Nothobranchius furzeri: one gene and its partner. The protein of the gene in region 2 purifies or fractionates together with the protein of the main gene of each other region. This does not show direct contact. Links are inferred from orthologs where the notes say so. Each region holds a gene or a part of one and is shown on either strand. Other genes may lie near its edges. The genes, in order: rnf114 and parp12a.

What was found.
Region 1: the proteins of parp12a (region 2) and rnf114 purify together in Homo sapiens (affinity purification with mass spectrometry; 3 studies listed by BioGRID and IntAct, counting the BioPlex papers as one, with this or other methods). This does not show direct contact. The link is inferred for Nothobranchius furzeri from reciprocal best matches to the Homo sapiens genes PARP12 and RNF114.

What each region holds. Positions count from the first base shown.
Region 1 is NC_091755.1:60,301,867-60,311,350, reverse strand, and holds the end of rnf114 (E3 ubiquitin-protein ligase RNF114), read right to left. Parts: coding exon 9,336-9,484; intron 9,168-9,335; coding exon 9,061-9,167; intron 5,143-9,060; coding exon 5,028-5,142; intron 4,955-5,027; coding exon 4,847-4,954; intron 4,750-4,846; coding exon 4,684-4,749; 3' UTR 4,069-4,683; downstream 1-4,068. UniProt on the Homo sapiens protein: E3 ubiquitin-protein ligase that promotes the ubiquitination of various substrates. In turn, participates in the regulation of many biological processes including cell cycle, apoptosis, osteoclastogenesis as well as innate or adaptive immunity.
Region 2 is NC_091744.1:78,749,925-78,759,662, forward strand, and holds parp12a (protein mono-ADP-ribosyltransferase PARP12), read left to right. Parts: upstream 1-3,688; 5' UTR 3,689-3,745; coding exon 3,746-4,065; intron 4,066-4,705; coding exon 4,706-4,841; intron 4,842-4,922; coding exon 4,923-5,187; intron 5,188-5,258; coding exon 5,259-5,396; intron 5,397-5,494; coding exon 5,495-5,657; intron 5,658-5,768; coding exon 5,769-5,782; intron 5,783-6,165; coding exon 6,166-6,326; intron 6,327-7,516; coding exon 7,517-7,743; intron 7,744-7,828; coding exon 7,829-7,904; intron 7,905-8,005; coding exon 8,006-8,136; intron 8,137-8,252; coding exon 8,253-8,404; intron 8,405-8,493; coding exon 8,494-8,750; 3' UTR 8,751-9,501; downstream 9,502-9,738. Other genes in the region: cfap263 (cilia- and flagella-associated protein 263), read right to left, coding at 381-524, 1,277-1,432, 1,683-1,790, 1,887-1,985, 2,153-2,263, 2,389-2,538, 2,615-2,776, 2,964-3,096 and 1 more.

The DNA of each region.
Region 1 (9,484 bases), on a different chromosome or scaffold from region 2:
GGTTGGTTACTCATTGAGCTGAGGAGGAACCAGTAGAGGTGTATGGATGGCTGTCTATGGGCAGCCACCACTGTTTGGGGAAGGGGGGGGTGTGTTTTACTGACAGATCTGCCTGCATCGTTCATTCCCTCCTGTAAAGACACAAGATACAAAGCGCAGGAAGTGGAGGAAGCTTTGAATACAAAGGTTACACTACAGGGGCAGTTAATAATTGGGAAGTGTTGGATTATTAATCTGAGAAACTCTGAGATGCTGGGGCTTTGTTTCATTTGTTGTTCTGGTTGTGACATTTCAACCATCGCTAGAGCCCAGCCCAGAGATCAGAACCCCCCAAACTGCACCAACGCTACTTTTGAAGCTGTGTTTGGGTCATTTCGATTCAAAAAGATACCCGATTTTCCACTTCCTCAGTTGTGTTTTATCAGTTTGCGTGTTTGTGTTGACCTAACCCATGTTTCCCTCCATCCTTCCAGATACGTCACAAGTTAATTGAGAAGGTGCTTTCATTGCCGTGACAAGTTAAGTAGAGGGAGCCGAAGCATTGTCTTTCAAATCAGCTGTCAGTGTGTTTCTGCTGTCAGCAGTTTCACTCACTACCTGCCTGGTTAATCATCAAGCAACGCCAAGCTGCTGGAGATGGATGCCCACCTTCACGCCGAACCCCCTTTCTCCTCCTCCTCCCTCCCCTCATCATTGCCACAACAGGACAACGTCTGATTGACAGATTAGCAAGTGCTGGCGCTTTTTCAAAGAAAGACGGAGGAAAAACAAGGTGGGGTGGAAGGACTGGGATTGAAGGGGACTCGCGGAGGAAGGATGAGGTCGAGGAGGTGTGTTTTTGTGTGGGTAGGTAAGATGGAGGTTAACAGGGCCTCTAAATTGTTCATGTGTTCGGGATAATTGCTGTTTGAAATTTTTGCATGCATTTCTTTTGATGGAAGGCGGAGAAGTGCCTGTTTTGTTTCATCTGGACCCAGAAGCTTTGGCAGAGAGTCCAACAGGAGCTCTTGTGAAAGTAAGATTGCCTCCCCTATTGGACATTAATGCAGCTACAACCTCCTTCCGGATAAGGTTATCCCCACTCTGGTCCTCTCCCTTCGTCTTATTCCCTCATGCACGCCCATCGAGGTTTGATTTCAAATGGAAAAATTAATGGGAGAATAATAGCCGTGGGCCTCGCTCTCTTCCAAGCACATCTTAGTTGTTCCACAGGGGGTAGAGAAGGGTGAGCAAGATTTAAGATCAAATCGCCTCACTTGGTGTGATATTCTACTGTGTGTGACACACACACACACACACACACACACACACACACACACTGGGATTTTATCACCCTACCTTCTTCTACACCTTAAAGGGCCCAACTTTCAAATATTAGCACAGTGGCTGCCTGGATTTCAAATAAATAAATAAATGAAGAGGCAATGATTAGCAGTTCTCCTGAGAGTCATCAGCGTTTCATATCTTTCATATTCATTTTCCAGCAGAAGATTTTCTGCAGGAACAGTGCATTTTGGGAACTTTCAAACCTCCAAGAGGGGAATCATGGTCAGTGGAGTTCATTTCCAGCAAGATGTCAGAACAATCAGAAGGTGCTCTGAATATGTGTTACAGTCAGAAAAACAAACACGGTGTTATGAAAATCCTCTGATTTGTATGTGGCAGCTCCGAGTTCATGTTTAAAGAGCTAAAAGGTTAAAACACACCTGCTACACAACGTGTGCAAGTTCAGCTGATGCAGGATTAAGTTGGTTGCAGGCATTTTAGAATCAAAGTTAAGACTTGATGCTCTCAGGCAAACACAAGTGTGTGCATGTGTGTGAGTGTGTGCGTGTGTGAGTGTGTGCATGGCAAGGGCAGGTTGTTAAGAGTTTAAAAGCGGAAGACGAGTTGGTGTAGAACCAGTATTGATGTCGGGGAAGCCCACTGGCACTTTTTGCTCAAACATTTGCGAGGACCGACCTGCCGCGGTGCTGCAGTAACCCGGGAAGCAGGATTCCCACTCTTCCTGTTTCTCCTGACTTTGAGGAATTTTTGGGTGAGCGAACTCCCAGTGCTTTCCTCACACACACCTCATCACAGATACCTGTCTCAGCAAAGACTTGAGAGAGGGAGATGTAAGCTTTTTAGGAGTTTCTGAGTCTTGCACTGTTAAATGTTTTTTTAAGATCGTACATGCAAACTTATTATGACAGCAGCCACTCATGCAAACAAGTTAATGCCTTTGATTGATGGGACTTCCTTAAAACCAAACTTGTTTAGTGTAATTTTCAGATATTGGTTTTTATCTTCACTACAAAGGAATTGCATCTAGAAAACAAAAAATCAGATTAATTGCATCCAGGATCTGAGCCCACGTGATCAGGTTTTAATCAAAGGTGGACAAGAAGGTTCAAGATGTAGCTCCAAACAATGGAGCACCCGTGTGCCTCTCACTGAGCCCTTTGGCTTCATGTAGCATTAATTGCAGCCTCCACGGAGCCTGCAGACTTCACACACACCATCCACACTTTCATCAAAGAAACCACACACAGTACTTTATGAAATTTTTATTCAATGTGTTCACTTCTCTTCCTTTCCTCCCCCTATTCCTTCTTACCTTTAACATTCCCCGCCTTTCTCACTCCCTTTTAAGATGTGCCACCAAACAGACAAGAAAGACTTCTTTCTGCCATGTTTTTAGACTCCACTTCCTTCCTGCCCAGAAGCACTTGGGTATCTCGTTAGTTCTCTCTCTCTCTCTCAGCTAACATCACTTCTGCATCTGCCAGGAGCAAAAACCCGATTAGGGTGAAAGGGATGAAAATATAAGAAACGAGGAGGTGGGGGAGCTTACATGAAGTTTAGTCTCTTTGTAGATAACAGTGATATAATTTGACGATTAGATTTAGAAGCTGTAAGGATTTAATCTCCCATGTGAACGATGTCGACTGAAGAGGACTCAGAAGTTTTGTGGAAAGCTCTTCTTTATTCTACATCAAATTTACAATTCTTGTCTTTATTCTGAAAACAACCAAATATGGAGTTTTCCACACAGCTCATCATTTCCTTATGTCATCATACACAACATGGTTATCCACTCCTCCTCCCACCACACACACACACACACACACACACACACAGGTATAAGTTGCAGCACCTGATCTCCGGGGCCAGGGTTTAAATAATTAAAGAGCTTTAATTCATCAGGATTTAACACCTCCTGGCAGTAGAGCTGACAAAAGAGAATGACACACACACACACACCCCAAGAAAGAAGAAAATGTTACTATACACCAGAAACACACATGATGACACATTTTAAAACTAGACTGAAAGCATCCATAGGCCTAACCAAGGAGCGGCTGTGAAGGTGAAACGGTTCAGCACTAGAGCTGCTAAACTGCATGTTTAGACAGTTTAGCTGTTTAATCAAAAAAGCATGAAGGTATTAACATGAGCCTGACCATAAATATTAAAGACAACTGGTTTAATTTACATTTACAAATTAAAACAAAACACTCAGAAAACAAGACTAGTTATAGTTATTTAACTTCAAATGATAGTTTGGTTCTAATTCAAACCAGAAATATAAATAAAAAATACACATGAACTTTATCATGTTTACTCATTATAAAGACTATCCCAAACATTACAGCTAGTTCATTTTAATGTTCGTGACACATTTGTCCAGTGATTTCACCTTAACTGCAGTTTCAGCTGTATTTCAGATAGATTAGCCTTACACCATTACTTTAAATACACATTTTTATTTGCTGCATATGAACAAAATCATGTATTTGTGGGGAAAACGCTGTTAATTTAGATGTAATGACTTGTATAAACTCAGAGGCTTGGGAGTGTCACCGGACACCATGGATAGAGTAGAACTCTACTGTCCCCTGTGGTAATGAACGTGCAACTACACTAGAACTAAACGTAAGAGCATCAGGCTCATCAAATGAGACCTCAGATGCCTTGCATGAACAAGTAGCCCTGTGGAGTTCTGGAAGTTAGAAACACGATCTACTAGAAGGCACAAAGACACAAAGGAGAAACTTTACAATGAAGCAAACAGCTGTCTCTGACTCTGCTCAACCCTCGTTATTTATTCTTCCCAGATCTCTGAAAAAAACCAACATTCATCACTCTCACACACACGTTGACAGGAAACGACAACAAGAAAAAGGAACACATTGCCTTAAGAGAGTTCTCATGCACAGCCAATCAGAAGCAGGATGTCGTCTCACTGATAGGACAACCTATTGATCAAGTTCGTCTTTGCTGCACTAGTTAGCCACCTAGTGGTCAAACCACCTCATTACATCAAGTATTGACAACATTTTTAATCACAACTTTGGAAGTTTTTTGGTTAAATGACATTTGCTCATTATTAAACAAATTACTTAAAACATAATTAAGGAGATGCTGACTACAAATCAAGTGGACAGGCTCAGTGGAGGAGAAGAAAGGATAAACACTGACACTCCTAGAGCAAACAGAACAATGTTTTTTAACATATTGACAGATTTTTTTATTAAACCTACAGATTTATAGATACAACATAACATCCCCGTGAAAATAATTACCCAAAGCAGCTCAGTTACACCAGATGCATGATGACAGTGTATAGTTGCATCTTTTCAAGACAATTTCCTCCCGTTTTCTCTAAATTTCTGGTTCTGCCAGATTGTTCTTCGCTCTTCAGTTGTCCAAAAGGGAGCGCTGTAAAGCCTCCTGAATCATTGTGTTTTCGTCTGTGGAGTAGTCCTTAAGATGAACGAGCGCCAGGGAAGAAAGGAAAAAATAATTAATAAGGGTTTATTTGGCAAGGTTAACATTAAATTATTAATAGTGTTTAACTTACAACAAATGTATCATAGGAGAATGTGTGTCTGATCTTAAGGTGTTGGAAAAAGTCGGTGCTTCTGTAATTAGGATCCCCCCAAGGCATCGAGGCGCAGATAGGGCACACCTGCACCAAAGAACTGACTTAAGCAGACAGTTTGTAGGATGAGGGCGATCACAGAACCATGTGGATCCCTTACCACTTGGCGTGGATCTCGAGCATGCTGGGAAGTGCAATGTTCAACCAGGCCATCCTGATCCAGGTTCTGGCAGTTGCAGTAGGGGCAGGAGAAGGTGTACCTGTTTGGCACCGAACTATGGGAAGGAAACAGAAACACTATGTTGATATTTATTCATCACCTCACTGCAGTTAGAGGGCACACACGCCACTGGCAGACAGGTGAATCTGGGCAGCGGCTGCAGTGATGGGCACACTAAACTAATCTGTTCAAGAGAAAGCCAAGATGGAAGGTGAAGACTTTGATTTACTGGTCCAGAAGACATGAGCTTTGGGTTATGACTAACAGCCAAAATGAGATACTTCTGCAGGGTGGGAAGACTCAGCCTTAAAGATGGGGTTGGGAACCCAAAGGCCAGGATGAGCTAGAGGGATTAGATCTCTATGCTGCACTGGGAATACCCTCACAGGAGCTAGCAGAGATAGTCCACAGTCATGACTAGGGTTGCAGCTGTTAACCGGCTTTACTATTAAACGCGGAGTGAAACACTTCTCCAACATCATCACCAAAATAAAACAAATGGTGCGACCCGTATGGACAAAAAGTCTAACTCGAATGGATGCACCCGGATCACGGCAGAAGCTCCGTTTCCACCTAGGAAGTGCATGAGAATTCCTGTGTGGGAATATATGCGATTCTGAAAGACGTTAAAAAAAGGAATTCGGGACAATGGCTTGCCCATATGAAGAAAAAAAATGTGGCATCTCCAACTTGTTTCATCACCTCTGGGATCATCAAGCAGACACATAAGCTCCAACTGAGTCAGATTACATTAGCAACTGAAGTGATTTAATAATAATAATAGAACAATCAGTGAACAAGGGTTCATGGATTACTGTTGTACTACGTTTCCCTTGTATTGTCTATATAGGAGTTAAGTACGGCAAGTCATTTTAACATTTATTCAACAGCACCTCTTTGTAATTCCTACACAGCAATAAGATAATGTATCCTTGTCTAAATAGTATTCTTACTAATGAAAATACAGATGTCAACAAGGAGAAATTATATTTAAAGACATCCAACTATTACACTAGAAGGAAGTTAGCGTCTCATTTTATTAGGTGCTTCCGTCCTTAAAGGGATATTCCACCCTAAGTGAAATTCAGTCTGTGGCCATATTCCTCAGTCAGCTAAGTGGGAAAAGACGTTTTGTAAAGAGGTCAGCCAGTCTTCTAATGTAGCAGTATTCTGTTTGCCTTAGCTTAGTTTAAACAATATAAGTGAATGGTAACAGCTAGCATTATAATAATTCATAAACATTTCTCAATAATGATCCTAATTTTTCTTGGGGACCTCAATAATCATATCATAGAAATAGAAAGGTGAAATGTTGTAAATGGTGTACAGTAAACACGGAGGAGACAGTGCTAGTTGTTACCATTCACTTACATTGTTTATGCTAAGCTAAAGCTAACAGGTTACTGCCAGATTAGGAAAATGACTGTTACAGAATGTTTTTACAGACTTCTCCAACTCTGGGGAATGTGGCAACAAGCTACGTTTAACTCCGGGGTGGAATATCCCTTAAGTGATGACTTTAATAAATGTGATGCGTTAACCATAACTCTGACCAGTTGCCATCAAGGATTATTTCTCAGACTATAATGGTAACCCTACCCACAACCTGCAGAAACCGCTAGACAGGGGAAGAGAGACACGGAACATTTTATGAAAACATGAGTGAGGATCTGTGACTCGCATAAGAAAAGTACATACAGATCATAAGGTTACACAGCAAAAACAAATAGCTGCCATTACAGTAATTGTGGTTTATCATAATATACCATATGAACTTGATTTATGACTATTTTATTACACTTTTAATCTCTTGTGAATACAAATCAGTAAACGTCAGTATGACTTCATTTCAGTTCTGGCAGGAACTAAATCTCTGGGACTCAACTTTACAAGATCCATTTTTTTTTATCATTGAAACCAAGTAAATGAGCTTTCAGTTGCAAAATCTCAGCATAGATCAAACACATCTATCACCTCTCTTGGACCGATGGAAGAAGTGTGTGCGTGTTTTTATTTTAGGAAACAAAATGTGATTGGTTTTCCCCCTCCCCTCCCTAATGAGAGTCAGTGGTAATAATAGAGAAAGCAGAAATCCACTTGCGTCTGACTTCACGACACTAAGCCACGTGCACCAACATGTTTGCATGCAAAACCGAAGATCTTTATCAGGAGAGAAAAGGTTTGATTAGATTTAGTTTTTATTTGAAACCAAGATATTTCCTGTTTAGTCTGATCGAATCGACTTTATTCTGCCTACATCCATCCAACTCTCCAACATTTGTCATTATCGTGAAAAGATGTTATGGCATTTAAACTTAGCCTGGCAAGCCAGACTAAATAAATGTATTATTTAGTCTGGCCACGCTCCATTGACGGCTCTCGGTTGTGGGGCGGGTTCTACCGTTGTCTTTCAAATGATCTCCGCATTCCACTGGACAATGAATGTGACATAAGCCTGATTTATGCTTCTCCGTCTGCGTCAGTGCGGAGACACGCAACGCCATTATCCGTCCTTGCGTAGGGCACGCAAGTACGTACGGAGTCGAGCCCACTTTTTTAAACATCCGTCGAACGAGACGGATTACGCAAGCTTGTGATTGGTCAGGATGCCGCTGTTGTTTACAGCGCCGCCATTGCAACGAGAGCCGAGGATAACTAGCGGCAGACACGGAGAAGCTTGAAGAATATCTCACGAAAAAACTCAAAAAATATGAACGTTTAATTCTCCCGTGACTGGAGGAGAGAAAAGATGCGCAGCAAGCGTTTTATTTGTGGACGGAAATGACAGGAAACGTGGGTTTAGAGGTGGGGAGTGCATGAAGCGGTGGGAGAATGAGAGACAAATATGTCCGTGTTAAAAGTCTCTTATAAACACAAAAAACACTATATAAACACACTATCTTGGACCGATACATGACAGGACACCACAGAACAGCGCTACACCCTCTGTTGTCCTGCCGGGGAATTGCTTTGCAACACTCTCCAGGAGACGGAGAAGTAAAAGAGCAAAACGCTTCCGTCAATCCGTGCGTGTCTGTCCCTTGCGGAGCTGACGGAGAAGCATAAACCAGGCTATACTCTTGTTTCCCTCTGTTGCATCATCCCACCCACCAGGCATATATAGAGTACCCTGATTGGCCCACAAAGCGGATAAAGCTCTGTGATTTGTTCACTAAGCAGATAGAGCACTATGATTGGCCCACCATTATGGACCAATCACAGCTCTTTATGTGTTTGAAACCCCTCTAGAGAGCTGTGATTGGCTAGCCAGAGTCCTGGTAGGAGCTGCTGAGGTTCCAATGGAGCGTGCCTAGACCATTCTTTGCAAAGCAAGAATTTGGTCTAGTTCACTAGGCTAATTTAAACTACCAGGTGATGAAGAAACGCATTTATTTGGTTCGTCAGGTCCAGCAAACCGTAAACATGTTAGTTTGATCCAAAGCGTCACTCTGTTACTGGATCTTTCTGCTTAAACTTACTTTCACTTGTGGTTTTACCTGCAGCACCACGCCATTTTGTTTCGGCACGTAAGGCCCAACTTCTGATGATTTTTTAAAATTTATTTGGATTTCATAATCGTGGAAGACCTAAACGGTTTCGGCGGTCGTGAGCCGACTCTTTTAACAAATAGTGAAAAAGTGATGAACATGTCTCCAGGAGAAAAGAACGATTGCTCCTTTAATTTGTATCAAACCTTGATTAAATGAAACAAAACCAGCTTCAGTCTGTGCCTTCAGAGAATACGTTTGTTTATCTGGCATCAAACTTGTAACCTGAACCAACACTGACCTGCTGCCACGCCACAACTTACTTTCCCACTTGGTGATGAGGCTCAGCCACAATATCTCCTGCTTACAGAACAGCGAAACACAACAAAAGCACAATGGTGTGCTCTTCAGCAGGCGGTGTGTGAGATAACTAATGTCTGGAGTTTTGCCCGAATTGGGTCACAAATGTGTGTGTTGCATCTCACCTGATAACTGGAGGCTGGCTCTGGGAAGTGGTCCTCACCCCCTCCTCGATGTACTCCTGGTACTTTGAACAATTAGCTGTGTGACTTCTCATCTGGGACAGGCCAACCTTATTACAAAAAAAGGGGACAAGTCTTTTATCTTGTCTGAATACGAAGACTTAATTCAGTAAATTTAGTCTTAACATGTGTGACTAAACAGATTTCCAACCCCAGTTCCCGTGAATCCATGAAAATGTGTCCTGTTGTAGCTTTTGGACATTAATAATTAAACATACCTGAACTCCACATCCCTTACAGGCTGCCACAGAAGACTGGATCAGTGCCTCCAGTTCGGTGGCTTTAGTGCACAGGCCCAGAGTGGCCCTGCATACAGCACAAACTGGTTTCTGAGGACGCAAACATTCCTGCAAACAACTCTGGCAAA
Region 2 (9,738 bases):
ATCACAAGGTGAAAAGCTTGAAAAGGTGAATTTTCCATGATATGGCCCCTTTAATACCACAACAGCAAAATATTTTAGAAACACAGTAATTGTTAGGGAAAAAAACTTAAACGAATAAAATAACATTGACTAAATATTACTCCTTGCCTAGAAATCTAGACTGATTGTAGCAACAGCAAAAAGATTTTGCTCTGCAGGTATTTACATGTAAATGATAGCTTGCCAGGCTACATTACTCCCACATGCAAAATCTAAGATCCCAATGATCAAATATGGTTAAATAAGCTTTGAAAGAGTAAGAAATAGTTAATTATTTTTAAATTAGCTGGTATTAGAATATAGGCTCCAAACGATCAGAAACCTGTTCTGATTCTTGACTTCTAAGTGTTTGTTTCTGCTATGTGGGGGAGTTTCACTGGACTTTGACAATCACCAGAGCTAGTTATTCCAAACTTGATTCTGCTTTCAGGAGAAGAAATGGCTCTCTGTTGGCTCCACTTCCTTCTGTGAGTCTTCAAGGCCATCTGGTAAAAAAAAACAGATACTATGTGTTAGTGTTTTGAACGCTACAACTCGGCGTTTTCCCTTCCCATACCAGCCAGACTTTTGTCGGTGAAGTAGAAAAGATGATTCCATCAGATCATGCTCGAGAAACAATAATAATAATAATAATACCTTTTATTTCAAGCGCCTTTCAAAGCTCTCAAGGTCACTGTACAAGACAAAATATAAGGAACAGCAAGCAATACAAACAAGAAATAAGTGCTAAGAGTAATTGCCAAGGGTAGATTCACAGCAGTACAATGACTAAAAAGAGTAGGTGGAAGGAGGACAGTTACATTGAGTAAGCCAGGCGGAACATGTGAGTTTTGAGTTGAGACTTGAAGGTTGAGAAAGAGATTATATTGCGGAGGTCAGGCGGTAGAGTGTTCCAAAGTTTTGGAGCGGAGTGGCTGAAAGCTCTGGCTCCCATAGTACAGAGACGAGTGCGAGGAACAGACAGGGAAGGTGAACATGATGATCGGAGCGAGCGAGTGGGAGTGACAATGTGGAGGAGATTAGAAAGATAAGGGGGAGCGAGATTATGGATGGATTTAAAGGCATGAAGAAGTATCTTATAGTCAGTTCTGTATTTGACAGGGAGCCAGTGAAGTTGTTGCAGGACAGGGGTGATGTGATCAAAAGTGGAGGTCTTGGTGATTATCCGGGCAGCTGAATTTTGGACTAACTGTTCACCAACACAGTTCACCTGGAGAATGTTAAAATGTCAGTTTACCTCAGCAACCCCAACCTTTGTCTCCCACTTGTGGATGCTCTGCTGCAGTTTCTTGTGTTTGTCCTTGGCACACACATACTCCGTGATACCAGGAGCCTGGTGATGCGCGAGCTGCTCACGAAGGAGCCTGTTCTTGTCCTCAACCTTTAATCGCTCCTGAGGACGGGAGAAAAAATAAAAAATCTGTGCAAAGGAGAAGTTCTAAGAAAGGGACAGAACGTGTTTTATTTAAAACAGATGAATCAAAAAATGAAGAAATTTAAATAATGCCATTTTTTTTACTTGTTTTTTAAAAGTGCTGCTTTTGGGTACTTAATTCTTTTACCGATCGATAAAAAATTACTTTGGACTTTGTAAGCCATAATGAGTTTTAGCTTTTATGCTGTTTAAATACACAAGAATGAACCTTTTCAGCATGATGTATTTCCTGTTCAATTTTTGCAAGCATTAGTTTTCTTTTCGAGATGTCATTGCTCAACTCTGCAGACACCAGCATCACACTCTGCAGCTTCTCCTGCTCTCAAAAGAACACAACGATGCACAGATTTAACTATCTGGATTGTTACGATGCTACACATCACACTAGATGATTCACGGGGAGCTACTGTACCTTGTGCACGCTGAGGACATGCTGTACCTTACTATAGTTGCATCGGTGTTCATCGAGGCTTCTGTCAAATCTGGGTTCATCATACTCGAGGAAATACACCTTCACACAAGGAACAAAAAAGTAATCTGGTTCAAGATTAAAACTCAATGAACAATCTGAAGGTTTTTAAGCGAATGACAAATGAAGCTACTGATTATTTTTGCAAATCCTCCCAGAATACATATGTGACAGCATTTAAGCCATAAATGATATATTTCTTGTTTTACCTGATATTCTGCCTTTTCCATTTCGTTTTTCTGAAGGAGTTTCTGCAGAAGAGTTTTTTCCTGGACCTTCAGTGCTTGATTTTTTAGATTAAACCTCTCCAACTGAACAATCTGTTGGAGAAATGTGGTTTAAAGTACATTTAAAAACTATACATTACTTTTGTGATCAAAAAAGAGGAATTGTTTCTATGCAAAACTTCCTTGTATGTGGTCAGTGAATCAGATTCCATTTTCACCTTTGACCTGTCTTCAGTGTACTGCAGCACCTTCTCTGGCTCCTTCATTTCCAGTAGGCCATCCTTCATAGATTTCATTAACCTGTGTTCAAACTCCTTCTTAGACTTTCGAATCTCAGCTAAACGCAATTCTGCTTCTTTCACAGCGGCCTGGACAGCAAAGCAGAACACTTAAACAAGGATCTGCGTACACAGAAATGATGCGTATCCAAACGTATGTTGTAACCTTGTAGTTGTCCTGGATTTTCTCATATTTCTGTTTAAGCTCTTCGTGATCTTTCCGTGTATCTGTTATTTCTCTCTGTATTAAGAAGATTTTTTGCTCCAAGGTCAGCAGCTGGTCGCAGTCTGATGAGATGTAGCGGGGCTTTTGCCTCCTGTCAACATTCTGAACACACACACACACACACACACACACACACACACACACACACACACACACACACACACACACACACACACACACACACACAAACACAAATATTAATAATGTTTGTATCAAAATCACAATGCAACACTGACACATACAAAGTGGTGGTATTTGGAATGGTTCACATGGGTTGCAATCCGCTCACCACACAGTCCAGTTGGGAGTGTCCAGCTGCTTGTTGACCTTCTCCACCATCCCCCTGAAATTCCTTGGGATCCAGGCGTTTGATAAAGCATTCAAACACGTGATTCTCAGCCAGGAGGGCTACATTAGGATCCCTTGATGACAGCACATAAGTGTCAACAAAACTGACCAAACAATTAGTGCACTTCACTTTAAATATAATGTAAGGGGTTCTTGTCTTTTTGCTATCAAATATGGACCACATATGAAAGAAATCAACTTTAATGTTACGAAAAAATTGTGCTAAATATAGCCATGCTGCAAACAGAAGTGTTAGCATTAGCGAGTGGGTTTTAAAGCCTTAAAATAAAAGTTCTATACATCCGTTCTGTTCACCTTAAATCCTTCTGATGTTTGACAAGAAGCGTTTTATGTTCTTCTGTGACCTTCTTAGTGTTTTCTTTCATCTTGTCCTCCATTGTTGTCGATTCAGTAGTTGCCATGGAGTCGCGTTGCGTTCACGTACCTCCTGGGCAAAAAGCAGAACTATGTAAAAAATGTGTTTTGTGCATTTGTTTACATTTATGTTTGAGACTGTGGTCGTGTTATTTTTGTTCTATTTTTGTTTCTGAATGATTTTATAGTTTTTATTAATTTTTAGGAGTTAGATGTCCTTTTACAGTATCTTGTTTTTCTTTTTTAGTTAAGTTTCTGTTTCGTTTTTCAGCACAAGAGGCGTGTTTTCAGGTCAGCTGTTCCATCATTTAGAGTTCTCTGATAATCTCTTCCCTAGCTCTGTCCAGAATGGCACCGAACTTTTCCAAACTAATTATCGGGATTCTGTGTGACAACCAGGGATGTTTGGACTTCGGGCAGCTGAATGAGCTGGCGCACAGTCATTTCGGCTTTGAAGTGGAAGACTTGCAGTCTATTCTCTTCGATGACGGGTTAATAGCGATCCAAGAGGACAAACAGCAAGTCTCCGGCCTTAACGAACTCAGTCCAGAGGGTCTGGTGGTGGCTAAAACCGCACTGAGGATTTGCCAGAAAAAATACGTACAGTGCGCGAAGTGCGATGGGTTACATCTGTGCAAGTATTTTGTTTGTGGAGGCTGCACGTTTGGGTAAGTTGTCTCATAAAACAATTTAATGGGCTTAGAAACATTATTTAATTTTTTTTGGAGCACATGCACACAAGCTGGACTTTGAGAAAAACTTGACATCCAATTACCTTTAATGTTGATATGTTGTTTTTGTAGAGTGTTTCTGGTTAATTGCTTGTTTTTTTAAAGGAAAGAATACTTTGAAATGACGCAGTTCAGGAAATACTTTACCTTTCCAGAAGGGGGCAGTACATAACCATTATCCCCTCCATCTCAGCCGCTGTACTTGGGGAAAAAATATAATAAAGTCATTTTAAAAAGTAATAAAAAAATGTTTCCACCAACTCAAGTGTGGTTAGGCCTACATGATTTTCCATGACCAGACTGGATTTTGTCCTCAGTATAACAACAAATTTACAATAAACAGCTGTTTAATAGACAGTGAAATGACATTCGTCATCCAGCTATGAATTCATAAACAAACTCAATATGATAATACTTAAACTAAATTAATGCAGATTTAGCTTGCTGTTAATGACCATGAACAATGTTTTCTGGCGTGGCTCGATATTCTGCTTATCAGCCAAGATTTAGATCGATGTATTTTATTTTTTTAATTGAATAAAGTAAACATTTTAAGTCCTGGGCATATTGTTTTTAGACCAAAGTGTAAAAACCCACACAGCCTGGATTCCCCACACAATACAACGGTTTTGGAGAGATTTGGGCTTCAGGAATTGACTGAAAAACAACTGTTCCAACTCTTACTGCAGAATGATCCTTATCTTCTTCCAGAGGTAGGCTTTAGCGGCTGAAAATAATAACCCTTCCTCATGATGGAATAGTATTAAAATTACGTTCTCAACCGTTTCACTCAGGTGTGCTCACATTACAACAAGGGAAATGGTCCATTTGGCTCTTGCCAATTCACGACCTCCTGCACAAAGCTCCACATGTGCCAGCACTCCCTCCAGGGTGACTGTAGGTTTGGGTCTTCGTGTAAAAGAAACCATCAATTTACCGAGAATGAAATGAAGCTTTTCCGGGGCTATAGCGAGGAGAATATTCAAAATCTTTACAAGATCTACAAAAATAAACTCATCATCATGGGCAAACACGAGAGGCAAGCTGTGGTTCTCCCAGGTAAAAAGTTTGTTTTCTGCCATTTTAATCTGAGATGCAAAGATTCTAGACTAAATGTGAGTTTCCTACAGCTCCTCCAAAGATGAACGTTCCACAGCCTCCCCCCTGCAACCCCGGATCTCCCACCAAGCCTGTGTGTCCAAAACCAGTAAGTGCTGCTGGGAGGAATGAAATCTTGCATAACATTTGCACGTCCCGCTGCTTCAAAGGTAATGATTCTGCTGATGGAGCAGACCAGTTGCATCTATAGTGCAGTGGATGCTCATGCATGTTTCACTTAGTTTATTCTTTGTGTGTTCTGTCACAGAGGCTTGTGGTCATGTTCACTGGGGTCTGCCCTACAAATGGGAGGTTTTAGACCAAGATTGTGTGACTTGGAAGGAGTTGCCCAATATGGAGGACATAGAGAAGGCATACAGTGACCCTTCACGTGACACAAGCGCCGTGTGTCTACCGCCATCTGCTTCAAGGTTAGGGCTTCTTGGAGCTTGGAATGTGTGGTACACAAACAAACAAAAATCTGATTTCCTACTCCTCTATGGTTTAAAAATGTTCTTATGAGGGTTCTGTCCTCCTTTCAGGTCTGTGTCTAACATTAAAGAGCCAGTCACCCCTTACAAGAAGCGTACTTCACTCCCACTTCATGTTTGAAAAATGCAACAAATGCTGTTGCCTAGCAGACCGAGAGGGTGGAGCCACTAACAAATACACACACTCATGACATTGTGACATCATAATGTACCAGTTTACATCATAGCATACCTCTTAGCCAATAGCGGTGGCAGATTTAAATTCAAATGCAGTGAAGAGTTTTTACCTGACAACGGCGCAACACTGACAGTTTCAGGCAGAACATTTAAATTTTAACTAAAATGCACCAAAGTGCTAAACTATTGACTACACGTGTCTGCAGCACGATTAGACACGCATTTATATAGTTTATCAGAAAAAAAAGTTGATTTGGGGGTGACTTGCTCTTTAAGAAGTGTGTTGACTTTAAAACCATGACATATGGAGGGTCTAAAGTCCGTCGCCTGCCCACAGCCTCCTCTGTCTTACACCCATCACACTTTACTCTCCCAACACAGTGGGTTTGGTACTGGCAGCATGAGAAAGGGTCATGGCTCGAGTATGGACAGGTAATCTGAGCTGATTATTTAACAAAACTGTGTATTTTAATGTTTGAATTATTTTAAAGGCATATTTTGGCCATTTTGTAGTGAGTCCCTCAGTGAAATGTAGACAATCACCGTCTCACCCTTAGCAGATTGCTTTCTCCCAGGCCTGATTTTTAAGCAATAGCTTTGAGCTAACAGCCAGTCCATCCATCCATCCTTTGTCTGCACTCGCTTTGTTCATGTAGGATGGGGGGGGGTGGGGGGGTGGGGGGGGGGGGGGCTGGTGCCTATCTCCAGCGGTCAATGGGCAATCAGGCAGGGTACACCCTGGACAGAGAGCCAGTCCATCACAGGCTAACAGCTAGTATGAGACTATAGTGCAGGGGTGCCCAATCCTGGTCCTGGAGGGCCGGTGTCCAGCAGGTTTTGTGGTTTTTCTGCTCCAACACACTAAATTAAATGGTTGAATCACCTGTGCAGCATCTCATCAGGCTCTGCAGAAGCCTATTGATCACCTGCTGATTGAAATCAGGTGTGTTGAAGCAGAATTAAAACTAAAACATGCTGGATATCGGCCCTCGAGGACCAGGATCGGGCACCCCTGCTATTGCTGCCTTTTCAAATTTCTAAATGACAAAGCAGTCCATGCTAAATTATTTTAATAGCATAAATGCGGCACTTCTGGTGTATCCATCAACCCTGCAGGAATGTAAAACGTTATGTGCAAATACACGTGGGCTGCATGGTGGCGCAGTGGTTAGCACTGTTGCCTCGCAGCACGAAGGTCGCAGGTTCAAAACTCAGCTGCGGCCTTTCTGCGTGGAGTTGCGTGTTCTCCCCATGCATGCGTGGGTTTCCTCCGGGTACTCCGGCTTCCCCCACAGATCACAACATGCCCTATAGGTTATAAATTGTAAGTCGCTTTGGATAACAAGCGTCTGCCAAATAAATAAACATAAACATGAATGAACTGCAGTGGAGCAGTAACATGTTAGACCTTGATTGTGCTCAAATTAGCCATTAGCTCATCAGTGTAGAATATAAGCCCTTTGCTCATACATGCAGCAAGGATCAAACTAAAACGTAAACTTGTCTTGCCCTTCTCATTTTATTATTATTATTATTTATTTTTTTTTTTTATAAATAATCCATTTCATCTCATTCAAAGTCTAAATTTTCTTTTGTTGCTGCTTTTTCTGGCGTGTTTCTAGGGTGGGGGCGATGTCACAGTCACTTCTCACAGCCTGGAAAAGATGTACCTGGAAAACCGGGAGAAGGAGATTGCTTTCCAGGCTGGTGAACATAAATACGTTCTCCATTTGAATGATGCAGCAGGAACCCAGCAGATGTTCCAGCAGAATGTCGAACACAAAACCAAAAGAGAGGTGCGAAGGAGGCCTCGCTTTGTGTCTGCTGAGGATGTGAAGAAGGCCAAAAAGTAACTTAAGTTATGTATTTTATTATTTATTTAATGTATCATTATATTTCTGTATTAATTATACTTCTGCTGCATTCTTACACAGCTCCAGCAGCTCTTCCACAGATTCAGTTGTCCCATCTCACTGGGACAAGAAAGCCCTGCCTGATTTGGGGTTTGAGGTGCCTGATTATTGAGTACATTTACGTTAACCTGGTTGTTTAGTTCCATAATCATCTCTGAACACATAACTGCACCTTTTGATGACTATGCTATCTTTCAGTTCGTGCTCCTCTCCAGCTCCTCGCCAGATCATAACATGATCCAGACATTGTTCAAATGCACCATGCGTCAAAGCAAAATCAAAAGCATCCAGAGGATTCAGAACCCCTCTCTGTGGAAATCTTTCCATTGGTAAAACGTTGCCAATTCATGAACACAATACTTGGTTGCTTTGCTCGCGGAGATGCTCGGCATTTATACCTTTTATTCTTCACACTGGGAGTGAATGTGCAATGCTTCATTTTCAGCCAGAAAGAGCAGATGCAGAAGACGAATGGTGGGAAAACTGTGGATGAAAGATATTTGTTCCACGGGACAGATGAGCGCCTGGTGGATGAGATTTGCGATCAAAACTTTGACTGGAGGGTGTGTGGATCTCACGGGACAGTGTACGGCAAAGGCACGAAAAACAAGACTAAATGATTTCATTTTTCTTTCCAAAAACATTTTTTCGGTGTTTATAAATGTGCTTATAAATATTCTTTGCAGGGAGCTATTTTGCCAAAGATGCATCCTACTCTAACAAGTACTCCAGAGCCAAAGGTGGTCGGAATAAGGTCATGTTTGTCGCTCTGGTCCTGGTGGGGGAATACACGCTGGGTAGACACAGCTACGTTCGACCACCACCGAAGAAGGGCAGCAGAACTCTCTACGACAGCTGCGTCAACTCGGAGACCAACCCCAGCATATTTGTTATCTTTGAAAAACAGCAGATTTACCCAGAGTATTTAATCATGTACCAGTAAATCAAATCCTCTGCAGTTTGATCTGGAAACGGTTTAGTGGAGGGAAGCGTTTAAGTCTGATTGCTGCCATCGTTGGTATTTGGGTATTCTATCCAAACTAGAACTTAGTCAAGTTCAAAGTCACAATTTTAAACAGAAATCTGCTCACAAAAGTTCAGCAGCAGATATGTGACAAGTTCTATTGGGCCTCTTGTTTCCTTTCATGTTACTTTTCATTACAGAGAAGTTAGATTAAAATGTAAAAAGTTTGTGCAAATTAAGAGTTATAGAGGTGCAGCTGCTTCCCCATACTGACCACCTTTACACACGTCATTTAGGATCTAATAGTCTGACATTTAGCTCATAAAGAGTGAAACATCCCAAGGTGGCACAGCTTTAAGGGAACACAAAAACAATAAAAGGTATAAATACAAATCCAAATACTCATATTAAGAGCTAATGTTAAACTTGAATGAAAAAACATGATTTCAAGATCAGATTTTTATCAACAGTATGAAGCAATCATCCATCAGCTGGGGGCTCTATCGTGTTTATTATGTTAATGGACTTTTTAGTTGGATGGAAAGTAAAAGTTCATACCTTAAAACCAGATTTATTTGCAGTTATGGGATTAAAAGGGCAGGTAAACGTAAAATGACCTAAAAAGATTGTCTCATAATGTGGAAAGCAGTGTTTTGCTCGTTTGAACTAAATATATTTTTGGACTTTTATTCTGAAAATGTTAATAAACATAACAAACTTACCATTTTGATATTTTGCTTTGAGGCTTTATTTTTTCTCTACTGCGTCTGTGCCTCGCCAGTATTAAGATATTATTTGTGTTGAAAGTTTCCAATACAGCAGACTCTTTGAGGGTAATTAGTAAGTTTTATTATTACAAGATGTTCAGAATTCAGCAGGAACACTAAAAAGAAATAAGAGATGCATGTTTAGACGCTTCTGCATCATATTACTGCATCAATTTTAAAATTTACATTTAAAATAAATT